Callithrix jacchus: one gene and its partner. The protein of the gene in region 1 purifies or fractionates together with the protein of each later gene. This does not show direct contact. Links are inferred from orthologs where the notes say so. Each region holds a gene or a part of one and is shown in the gene's direction. Other genes may lie near its edges. The genes, in order: CDH2 and CTNNA1.

The links.
Region 2: the proteins of CDH2 (region 1) and CTNNA1 purify together in Homo sapiens (affinity purification with mass spectrometry; 4 studies listed by BioGRID and IntAct, with this or other methods). This does not show direct contact. The link is inferred for Callithrix jacchus from reciprocal best matches to the Homo sapiens genes CDH2 and CTNNA1.

The regions. Positions count from the first base shown.
Region 1 is NC_133514.1:71,232,749-71,238,546, reverse strand, and holds part of CDH2 (cadherin-2), read left to right. Parts: intron 1-1,673; coding exon 1,674-1,907; intron 1,908-2,203; coding exon 2,204-2,437; intron 2,438-4,337; coding exon 4,338-4,477; intron 4,478-5,798. UniProt on the Homo sapiens protein: Calcium-dependent cell adhesion protein; preferentially mediates homotypic cell-cell adhesion by dimerization with a CDH2 chain from another cell. Cadherins may thus contribute to the sorting of heterogeneous cell types.
Region 2 is NC_133503.1:37,148,791-37,155,382, forward strand, and holds the start of CTNNA1 (catenin alpha-1), read left to right. Parts: upstream 1-3,094; 5' UTR 3,095-3,174; intron 3,175-3,682; exon of another isoform or gene 3,683-3,946; intron 3,947-6,592. UniProt on the Homo sapiens protein: Associates with the cytoplasmic domain of a variety of cadherins. The association of catenins to cadherins produces a complex which is linked to the actin filament network, and which seems to be of primary importance for cadherins cell-adhesion properties.

The DNA.
Region 1 (5,798 bases):
AGAATAATATCAATGAACTTTTCTAAATACTTATACTAAAATTTAATGAGATTACTAGCTATAGAAAATCTGTATAGTGATGGCCAAAGAAATATTTCTTCTCCTTTCCAGTATGGGACCTCCTGTTTAATATTTAGTGTTGGAACTTTGTAGGAATAGCTTTTGCCATTTTACATCAAAGCATAGCATTAGTACCTGTTTTATGCTTTTTTTTTTTGCCTTAAATAAACAGTAGTTTTCTTCTACAGTAGAACTGAAAGTAATATATCTTGAATCATTATGTTGAGATCCAAAGAGCCATAAAATTATATGTATGTATGTTGGGTGTGAGTTACAACCAGATTTATTTATTCACCAAGGAAGATTGTTTTCTAATTGAAAGGGCTTTTGATAAGAGAGAGAAGTGACCTGTTAAATGTATGTAGCTGTGATGCTTTGAAAGTGCACTTTACTTTAAGTGACAAGGCTAGATTTGGAGCCCCAACTATGTTCCTTAATGATTAGGCAAGCTCTTACATGCCGTATGCCTTAGTTTCATTATTGATAAATTCTTTCGCTACTTAAACTTATTCTATATAGTTGTTATAAAAGTATAATAAATATTAAATGTGATCATAAATTTAAAATCCCTCAAACTTACTGTTGAATATCATAGTGGTCATAGTGGTGTTATAACAGCCACTATACCCCTCCAGTTCAGCTCTCCCTGCTCTTAGAACTATCATGTTCCTCATAGAAGTTGATAGAGATTTCCCCTTATTCCCTCCCCAGGATTGTGTATGTATGTGTACCTTCCTAGTTACGTGATCTTTGACAGGTCACTTAAATCTCTGGTCTTCATTGTATAGCATTCTTTATAAAATATTCATAAATATTATATATATATATGCATGTGTGAATATTTACAATATAGCAGAAGCAAAACACCAGACTAAATTATCACATGAAGTGGTGGAGACAGCATTTTATTATAGTGGAATGAGAATGGGTTTGAGGTCAGGCCGACCCATCTTTAGTAACAACTCCACCACTTAAAGAGTGTGTGGCCATGAGCAGTTTACAGACTTAGGTTCATCTGTTTAAACCTGTGTCATAGGATTACGATGAAAATGCACGTAGAGCTGCCTAATATGATCTAAAAGCAAGTAGTTGGTTAGTAAATACCATTTCTCTTCTGCATGATGTTTCTGAGTTGAGGTCTGTGGTTCTGTATCACTTGTCTGTAGACTGGTTCAATAAGTCATAGCTGTGTTGGAGTGTTAAAAAGCATTATTACGTTCTTTCATGCACGTGTCTTGGTTCTCCATAAAAAGAGTAGAGTTCACAGGATTATGAGCCCTGTGTTTGCATCCCCAACATTCCTCACAGTGCCTGGAGCAGCATGGTCTGTGCAAGCCCTGACTAATGAACAGAAGGGGCAGGGAAGGTGTGAGATTCCATAGCAGGGGCATTCTTCATCACCTTGCTCAGACTCTGCAGAGCAGCAGTGGCAGCTCAGGGTCATTCTAGGAGGGAAGCAAGAAGTGGCTTTGTTTTGGAAATGGTCTGCCCAGATGCCTCAGCAACTATATTTTTCCAAGGTTACACAGTCATAAGGGCCTGAATTTCACCATAATTGAGGTTCATTGGAGAGAACTGTTCAGCATCGGTTTGTGATTTTTCTCTCTTTTAAGGAATTCCTCCTATGAGTGGAACAGGAACGCTGCAGATCTATTTACTTGATATTAATGACAATGCCCCTCAAGTGTTACCTCAAGAGGCAGAGACTTGCGAAACTCCAGACCCCAATTCAATTAACATTACAGCACTTGATTATGACATTGATCCAAATGCTGGACCATTTGCTTTTGATCTTCCTTTATCTCCAGTGAATATTAAGAGAAATTGGACCATCACTCGGCTTAATGGTAAGAACAGGTTAATTATTTGAATATATGTGCAGTTGAGAGATTTTGAAGCCTGGCATGAAAAGTTAATTTTTATGTGCTCTGTAATCTTCTCATTATACATATTTTTAAAGCTGCTTAAAGTTTAAGTAAGATTAAGTTTAAAGGCCTTTAAAGCCAAAAAAGTATTTTTAATGCATCATAGTTGTAATCCACTTTATGTGTACTCTTAGGTAGTAAATACATTCTGAACAATGCTGTGTTTTTTATAGCTTTAAGTATTGCCTGTCAAACTATCTTTTTCCTTTTTCATATAGGGGACTTTGCTCAGCTTAATTTAAAGATAAAGTTTCTTGAAGCTGGTATCTATGAAGTTCCCATCATAATCACAGATTCGGGTAATCCTCCCAAATCAAATATTTCCATCTTGCGCGTGAAGGTTTGCCAGTGTGACTCCAATGGGGACTGCACAGATGTGGACAGGATTGTGGGTGCAGGGCTTGGCACCGGTGCCATCATTGCCATCCTGCTCTGCATCATCATCCTGCTTAGTGAGTACTTTTATTGTCTTTTAGATTTCAATTCTCTTGGCTTCTAGGGTGTTCAGCAAAGTCACTTGTTGCTATTGCCTGGCAAAGTAGTCTCACAACCCTTTGACCTCTCAGCATTTCCTTGCCAATCATATATGGTCGGCCGAGTCCACTTTAGAATGAAAAAATCCCCGAGCGTTGTTTCAAGCACTTGAGGTTTGCAACAAGCCTCCTCAGCATGCCTCTTCCGTGCCCTCTTACTCTTTCTGATGCTGATTGCTTAGGAAACTGTAGTAAACTCTTTTCATAGAAAAACATTACACAATCCCAAGTTTGAGCACGATTCTTATGATTTGAGTATGAAATTATGGCACATAGTTGATGATTTGGGAAAATAAATATATTGCTTTCCTTTACCTTCCTTCATATAAAGCACAGTCAGCAGTGCTCCAGTCATGAGAAGATCAAGGTATTTGTTTCTGAAGGGCTGTGTAAAAGTGAGAGATTGCACTTCATATACAGCACATTTGATAATAGAAATGATTACACAGCTCAATAAATTGTCTTTAGAGTAAGTGTAGATTAAGGAATTGCTTCTTTTTAAGGTACTTTGCAATCTTTGGTTCAGTGGAATGCAAGAAATTAACCACTGGAAAGTACTTTAGGAACCACTTCTAAGCTTACAGGTTGAAAGAATAAATTGCATGGGCCCTGTGTTTTATTGTGAAATAGCAGCAGGACTTAGTTTATTGTGCGGTCATGCTATGCACCAATCACTTTCTTGAAAATGTTGGCTATTTCTTTTATGTTTTCTCCGTTTACAAGTGTTCTGGTAATTTAGAATTCTATCACTTTATTCTAAGCAATTACTATAGAAGTCGGAGCCTTTTTTACTTCCTATATGGAGACTACTTTGGCTATAATTTGCAACCTGCATGCTATACTAATAATCCGCTTGCTAGATTTAGCCCTGGAACAATAGCAAATGAGATCATGTTATCTGGCTCTAAAAGGAGGATATTTGCTTTTATGGCCAATAATAAAAATGTACTCCAATAGGAGTCATTAAATCTTTTGCTTCAGGATGTATACTGATACTCCCAGATTTTAGACAGAATTTGTTCCTAGATGTGCACTTAGGGATATGTTTCCATTTCAGCTGAAATGTGGCATAGATGCCAGTCTTATCCAGAAAGACTTAGGTATGACAGATTATGGCAATGAAGAAGTAACTGGCATTTTGAAGGAAACTGAATTGGTGCTGATTTTAACATCAAATCCCTGGAAAATGTATGGTTCTAGACCTGGCACAAAGTGTAAAACATTAAAGTCGAATGTTATTTCAGTGTTTAAACGAATCCCCTAGGCTTCTTAGCTGAAGCATGCGCCAGCCTCTGGGAATCAAAACCTCAAGATCCAGTTCCTGACTTAGTTCCAATTTACTACCAGGTCATCTGGGCAAGCTTTGTCTTCCTGGAGAAGTGATGTTTTCTGTGAATTTGGGATTGTAATAATGACTGACCAACCTAGATAACACAGCAAGTAACAACTTGTTGCTGTTTGTGTCTCTAGAATGTACAAATCACTATTAAGGGCAACTATCCTCTAGCAAGCCAAAAGGAAAATAGAAAAAGTTACTGTCCCTGTATGTGGATGGTGAAACTGAACAAGGATGATCTACTTCTCAAGTGAGTGTGCAGGACACTAGGGATGGGAGCCCAGGCCTTCGCACTCTTAACTCCAGTGCTTCGGCCTGCTTTGTCTTGTCTCTCTTTAAGGTCAGAAATTGATAGTAGAGTGAAAGATGCATTACAACCTTTTAGCCCATTTAAGTATAAATTATCATCACTGAATACAGTGGCTAGATAGGCCAGGCTTTAAAAATGGCAATATTATGTATTTTTACTATTTTTCTCCCTAGTCCTTGTGCTGATGTTTGTGGTATGGATGAAACGCCGGGATAAAGAACGCCAGGCCAAACAACTCTTAATTGATCCAGAAGATGATGTAAGAGACAATATTTTAAAATATGACGAAGAAGGTGGAGGAGAAGAAGACCAGGTGAGCAATGCTTTAAATCTTTAAACGAAAATTTTATGGTCATATAAATATAATAGTGAGAAGTGTTAATACTTCAGTGAGAAAATTGTATCAGGTTTCCCTCCTGTTATCAGTCATTTGGTGAATTGTTTCCTATGTGTGTTGACTATTTCTCAAATTTTTTTCAAAGTACCAAACGTCATTGTGTTTATTTTGTAAAAAAAAAAAATAAAAATTAACATTTGTTTCAAAGGATTTAAACCCAATTCTGGTTAAATCTGTGTAATGATAAATCTATTTTTCTTTATAGTTTCTCTTCATTAGATATCCAAAATATAAATAAAGTGTCTTCTACTTTGGGATCTAGATATTTATATGTATGGTAGAAAAACCACTAAGACTATTTATTCCACAAGTATTTACCAAATAAATTCAGTATTTTAATCCTGAAGATACCTCCATGGGCAGAGTTAACAAATATCTACCCTTAAGAGTCTTACATTCTTGTGAAATATTTGAAGTTAGAGTCAACATCTAGTTCATCTTTATATTTATAGTGTCTGTCATGGTTTCTGGCTCCAAGTGATTGTTCAGTAGATGTCAGAATCCCCTTCTGGCCATTAAATAATATGAGCTTATATCACTATGCTCATATGGTTCTGCATATCTCTTCAAGGATGAGAATGACCATAAATGAGAAATAAAGATCTCTCTCTGCTCTGAAGCAACATTTTCAATGTTATCATAGCAAACATGTATAAGCTCTATACTACATGGCAGGCATTCTGTTAAGTACATTAGGTGCCACTATCTCTTAATCTTTGAAACTTGTGATATTAGTACTGTGACCATCTCTACTTCTGTGGAATAGAACCAAGCTTAAGGATGGTTACATTCTACAAAATCATGCACCTAGGAAGTGATAGATGCAGAGTTTGTATGCAGGTCTCTGAATTCACAGCCTAACATCACTATTCTGATATAGTTTCTCTTGAAATTATATGGGTATATTAATGTAATCCCTGAGAAATCACTGTGACAGGTAATTTTTGGGTACATTTGATAGTCATCTAATTTCTACTGGCTGATGCAAATGTGGAGGATAATAGTCTGAAGGAGAACCCAGGATTCTTTGTTTTTTGCATCAGTATCAGTAAGTTAAAATGTTCTATCTTAAGTATATATGCAGACATTGTTGATAAGGCTGTTATTTGAATAAAAGCAAATTTTCATGAACATACTTTTCCACTGCTTCATTCCTTTGAGAAAATGATACATCATTTTTCATTTTACAAAACACATTTGTATTCATTATTGTTTAATCTTTGTGGCAGCCCCTTAG
Region 2 (6,592 bases), on another chromosome or scaffold:
AGCGAAACTCCGTCTCAAAAAAAAAAAAAGATCTGCCTGCCTTGGCCTCCCAAAGTTCTGGGATTATAGGCGTGAGCCACTGTGTGTGGCCCGCCTGGCTAATTTTTTTTGTATTTTTTGTAGAGATGGAGTTTTACCACATTGCTTAGGCTGGTCTCAAACTCCTGGGCTCAAGCCATCTGCCTGCCTTGGCTTCTCAAAATGTTGGGATTACAGGCACGAGCTACTGTGCCTGGCCAGTGCCACACTTTAAAACAATGATATTTCATGAGAATTCCCTTAGTATTGGGAGGACAGCACCAAGCTGTCAGGAATCCTCCTCCATGACCCAAACACCTCCCACCAGCCCCACCTTCAACACTGGGGATTACAGTTCAACATGAGATTTGGGCAGGGACAAACGTCCAAAATATATCAATTATGTTCTGAGTTAGCCAGGTTAAGTAGGGGGGCGCCAAAGCCACCCTAGGCAGAGGGGACTACAGGAGCAAAAACCCTGCAGCCAGAAACAGGACAGGGGTAGTTGGACAAGAATGACCTTGTCAGGGTTTGCCTTTCCCTTTTTTTTTTTTTTTTTTGAGACCGAGTCTCACTGTGTTGCTCAGGCTGGAGTGCAGTGGTGCATCATGGTTCACTGTAGCCTTGAACTCCCAAGCTCGAGTGATTCTGCCACCTTAGCCTCCCAAGTGGCTGGGACTACAGGTAGGTGCCACCACGTCCAACTATTTTTTTGTTTTTGTTTTGTAGAGATGGGGTTCTGTCATGTTGCTCAGGTTAGTCTCCTGAGCTCAGATGATCCACCCACCTTGGCCTCCTAAAGTGCTGGGGATTACTTACATGAGCCACTGTACCCAGCCTTTTTTTTTTTTTTTTTTGAGACGGAGTCTTGCTGTGTCACCAGGCTAGAGTGCAGTGGCACCATCTCAGCTCACTGTAACCTCCACCTCCTGGGTTCAAGCAATTCTGTCTCAGCCTCCCAAGTAGCTGGGACTACAGGTGCCCACCACCATGCCCACCTAATTTTTGTATTTTTAGTAGAAACAGGGTTTCACCATGTTGGCCAGGATGGTCTCAATCTCTTGACCTTGTGATCTGCCCGCCTCGGCCTACCAAAGTGCTGGGATTACAGGCGGGAGCCAAGGGGTCCCGCTGCCTCTTTTGCTTAAAAGTGGTTCTCTCCCCACTTCATAGTCCTGTTGCCCTTTGTCAGCATCTCTTAACTAGCACAGGCCCACAGTGCTTTGAATTACAGTGGCACCTTCACCCACAAATGTTCACTGGGCACTCCTTAGGGGATGGGTGATGTGCTGGAAGCTGTAGGAGGTACAGCTCCTGCTTTCCAGCAGTTTGGATTCCCTTGGGGGAGAGGGAGATGTAAGGAGTAAAGGGTAAACATGGTGAGGGCAAGCCTCCCTAGCACTCTGCTCTCTGTTCAGCATAAGGCCAGCAGTGGACATTGTTGTCTTGCATTATTTCAGATTTATATGCCAATAATGAAATCCATCTTGTTCATTATCCCATGAGCAGGGGAAACAGCATTAGAGTTTTCTATACGAGGCTGATAGGGAACATGTAGTATTTTTTGTTTTTTGTGTTATTTTGCTTTGTAATTTTTTGTTTTTTGGAGTATTCACCATGAAGATAAGAAAAGGTGAGAATAAAGTTCCCTAAATGACTGGAGGGATAGAGATACAAGTCAGATCCCTCAGATTTGGTGGTGGTGGTGGTGGGGGGAACAAGCTCGGAGGGGGGGAACAAGCTGGGAGGGGAGGATGAGCTCTTGGGGTGGGACGGGAACAAGCTCAATAAGGGACATCTGCTGTGGTGCCTCTCTCTTTTGTGTTTCTTTTGTAAATGTCCTCCCCGCAAGGTGGCTCACGCCTGTAATCCCAGCACTTTGGGAGGCTGAGGAGGATATATTGAGTCCATGAGTTTGAGACCAGTGTGAGTGTGCAGTTCCAGTTACTCCGGAGGCTGAGGTGGGGAGGGTCGGTTGTCCAGTAATTTGAGGTTGCAGTGAGCGGTGATCGCGACACTGCACACCAGCCTAGGAGACAGAGGAAGATCCTGCCTTAAAAACAAAGAGAAAAAAAAAAAAAAGAAAAAAGCCGGGCGCGGTGGCTCATTCCTGTAATCCCAGCACTTTGGGAGGCCGAGGCGGGCGGATCACGAGGTCAGCAGATCGAGACTTGGCCAACAACGTGAAACCCCGTCCCTACTAAAAACACAAAAAAATTAGCCGGGCGTGGTGGCAAGCGCCGGTAGTCCCAGCTACTCTGGAGGCTGAGACAAGAGTATCGCCTGAACCTGTGAGGCAGAAGTTGCAGTGAGCCGAGATCGCGCCACTGCACTCCAGGCTTCGCGACAGTGAGTCTCCGTCTCAAAAAGAAGAAGAAAAAAGAAATGTCCTTAATTAAGAGGGCTTCGGGTGTCCGCATCTGTGGAGTGAGGGGACGGGTTACGTGAATTCTCGAGGCGCTTCCACCTCACATTATGAAAGGTCGTTAGAGTCACATCCTAGTTTCACTCTGTCCCGAAGCAGTGGGGCCTTTCCTTGGCCTCCGCTTCCTCTTCTGTAAACAAGAGAGTGGGCTTAGATCACTTTTCTAGGAGCCTGTGGCTCCGGGACATCTGTGACACTCTTGCGGGGCGCGTGCCCAGGACCCCGCGTCGCAGCGGCGCATCTCTGGGACTCGGCCGGTGTAGGGGGCCGCGCCCGGAGCCTCACCTGTGCTCGGAGCCGTGACTCACCTGCCCTCCCCCGTCCTCCCAGCCCGCGGGCTGTTCCAGGAGTTATCGCTCCTCCTTCCTCTCCGGGTCACTCCTGGCCTAAGCTCCCACCAGGGGTCGGGAAGGAAGGAATTCTGAGGTGGGCGGCGGAGAGGAAGAGGTCCCCCGGGGGTCCCGGGCCAGCGTCGCCAGACTCTTCGCGGTGGGGGCCCTAAGCGGAGACCGTAACGGCGGGGAAGAGCGGGCGGGTCAGCAGCGGGAGGCGCCGGGAAGAGCGGGCCGGAGGGAGGTGCCGGGAAGGGCGGGCGGGGCGGGGGCCGCGCGGGGGCGGGGGCAGGGGCGCGGGGCGGCCCATTTCCTTCTCGGAGCTGGACTGTAGGGAGACAAAGCAGCAGCCGTCGGCTTCGGGCCTCCGGTATCCAGCGCTCGCCCTACTCGCTGCAGGTAACTTTGCACCTCCCTCCCCGCGGGCGCGGGCTCTCTGGCCGGGCCGAGAGGGTCCTTGGGCCGGGCCGTCCCAAGCTGGGCCCCGCAAGCGGCGGGACGGTGGGCGGGCGGGGCGCGGTCTCTTCGTCGACGTCGCCGGGAATTGGGCTCCGGGCGGGCGTGGGTCCCGCGTCGGGCCGGCTGCCCCTTTCCCCGCGGGGTCCGAGCCTGGGACCCGGGCAGGCGCGGCCGGCACTTCCCGGCGCTCGGGGTGTCGGGGGGCCGCGGCGGCTGGGGAGGAGAAGCCACATACCCAGTGCCGCCGCCGCGTTTCCTCTTGGAAAAGTTTTCTCGCGGTTTCCAAACTTTGTTGCCGCGGCCTCCGCGCGCGCGCGCGCGCCTGCCCTGCACCGGGCCCCTCGGCCGCCTTCCTTCCCTGGGGCGGCGCGTCTGGGAGCCGCTTTCCGGGGAAGTGATTGTCGTCTGGTTCTGAGGCTTCCCTGCCCCCTCCCCCTCCCCAGCCGCCGAGACTTCCCCGTGGGGCGGCGGCGCGGACGCTGGCTCCGCGAAGCTGGAGGCCGGAGGCCAGAGCCCGGGCATCTCCCAGACATCCTCGGTACAGCGTGCCACACCCGTGTGGACTTTTGGCGTGACCGTCCACCTGGACTCAGGGATTACTCAGCCTTCCTAGGTTTCTTGTCGGTTGGACGCACTTCGCTTTCGGCCCTAGTTTTCGGGAGTGGCATTCGAGATTTTTTTTTTTTTTAATTGTTGACTTTTAAAGGAGCGGGTATGTGCGTGCGAATGTGAAGCACTTGTTGGAAAAAATGTTGCCTGAATGAATGCCTGACCTTTGCTTGGCTGCAGTGGCTTCCCAGTAATGCAGGCAGCGGTTGGCCCAGTTCCAGGGTTGACTCCCTCTTATGTCTTCCTGCATCTTGGTCAACATTTTTTTTTTTTGGTGCCTGTGTTCTGTACATAATTTACAGTTATTTGGAAAAGAGCGAGATATGTTAAGTCTCCAACTAAATTCGGGGCATTTTATATTTATGATGAAGGAAATGCTTACATCATTGTATTGTTGGGACAGGATAGGCATTTTGTGGAGTGGTTATTTGTGTTTAGTTAGAAGTGATTTTTTAAAGACCGGACAGGTGGGTGTTACTTTAAGGAACAGAGTTTGTAAATCAAATTAATTAGGATGTGTTATTTTGTTTTACAGGAGGAATGAGTCTAGGAATTATCCATAGTTTCTGCCTTATTATTTATCATCTGGACTTTTTTTTTTTTTGAGACAGAGTCTTGCTTCGTCGCCAGGCACCTGGCTGGAGTGCAGTGGTGCGATGTTGGTTCACTGCAACCTCTGCCTCCCAGGTTCAAGCTGTTCTCCTGCCTCAGCCTCCGGAGTAGCTGGGACTACAGGCGCATGCCACATGCCCAGCTAATCTTTGTGTTTTTAGTAGAAACGGGGTTTCACCATGTTGGCCAGGATGGTCTCGATCTCTTGACCTCGTGATCCGCCTGCCTCGGCCTCCCAAAGTGTTGGGATTACAGGAGTGAGCCACCGGGCCCAGCTCCATCTGGACTTTCGAACAGACTTTTTTTTTTTTTTAAAGAAAGGTCTCAGTCCGTTGCCTGGGTTGAAGTGCAGTGGCACGATCACAGCTCACTGTGGCCTCTGTCTCCTGGGCTCAAGTGATCCTCCCACCTCAGCTTTCCATGTAGCTGAGAGTACAGGCACGCGCCACCACACTCGGCTAATTTTTGTATTTTTGGTAGAGATGGGGTCTCTGTCTTGGCCACATTGGTCTCGAAATCCTGGGCTTAAGTGATCCTTTTGCCTCAGTCTACCAAAGTGTTGTGATTACAGGCCTGAGCCAGGGCACTTGGCCCCATCTGGATTTTTATTCAGTTAAAGAATAATTTTTTAATCTGCTTTAGAGTTCACAGTATAATAGAGGAGGCACACACACCTGGTATAGTACAGAGAGACTGCAGTAAGTGCCAGTCTCTCTGTTAAACTAATAGTTTCGTTAGTATAATAGTACTAATGAAACTGTTTTAGCTACTGTGTGAATCGAATCTTACCTAATGCTAACGAAAGAAACTTGTGGAGGCACTGAGAGGGGCCAGCCAATAAGTTTTATTTGAATAAGTCCAGAAAGGCTTCCAGGAGGTGATGGCATTTGATATGGATGAAACATGAGTTACGTTTTTTTAAATGAAGGGAGAAAGTCATGAGAAGTATAAAAGAGCATAGGAATTGAGGAATTGTGGTATCACTCTCCTGATTTTCTTTTCCTTTTTGGCTCATCTCAGTTTCTCTTTTTTTTCCTTGCCATCACTCTTTCCTCTCATACCAGGGGTTCTTTCCAATGTCTCATTGTTCTCTGCACCACTGATGTGGCATCACCTTCATTCCCATCAGTGATACTTAGTTCATACAGTGGCTTAGAGATGAGAGGTGCCTTCTTCCAAGATGAGAATCACTGCTCTGTGCAGCCTCTTCTCAGCCTTATATACTAAAAGCCTGAGCTTTTATTTTAGTGCAGATGTGTCTCCTGATGCACATGGTCACCAGACCCAGTCTGGTCTCAAAATCCTGGGCTCAAATGAGCCCCCTGCCTCACCTGGATATAATTTTTAAAAAATGTAATTCCTAAGGAAAAAAAAATTAATTCCTAAAAAGTCATAGTAAGCAATGAAGTTACGTGGTGTTGCTTGTGATTGTTATTATTACTGTTTTTGAGACAGAGTCTCTGTTGCCCAGGCTATAGTACAGTGGCAAAATCTTGGCTCACTGCAACCACTGCCTCCTGGGTTCAATCGATTTTCCTGCCTCAATCTCCTGAGTAGCTGGGATTACAGGCATCTGGTACCACACCCAGCTAATTTTTGTATTTTTAGTAGACATAAGGTTTCACCATGTTGGCCAGGCTGGTCTTGAATTCCTGACCTCAGGTGATCCACCTGCCTCGGCCTCCCAAACTGCTGGGATTACAGGCGTGAGCCACTACACTGACCCTATTATTGTTAATTTGCCATTGATTATATGTCTGTTACCTGATAAATTATGATTCATCCCATCCTCCCTCTTTTCCCCTCCCTCCCTCTTCCCCTCTCCCCCATCCCAGGCTGGTCTTAAAATCCTGGACTCAAATGATCCGCCTCGCCTGGAAATAATTTTAAAAAAACGTAATTCCTAAAAGGCCATAATAAGCAATGGAGTTATGTGGTGGGGTGTGTCCTGTTGTTAATTTGCCATTGATTATATGTCTATGCTGATGAACTATAATAACATGAATAACATGCTCTTAGGAGTTTTTGTTTTTGAGATGGAGTCTTTCTCTGTCTCCCAGGTTGGAGTGCAATGACGTGATCTTGGCTGACTGCAACCTCTGCCTCCTGGGTTCAAGTGATTTTCCTGCCTCAGCTT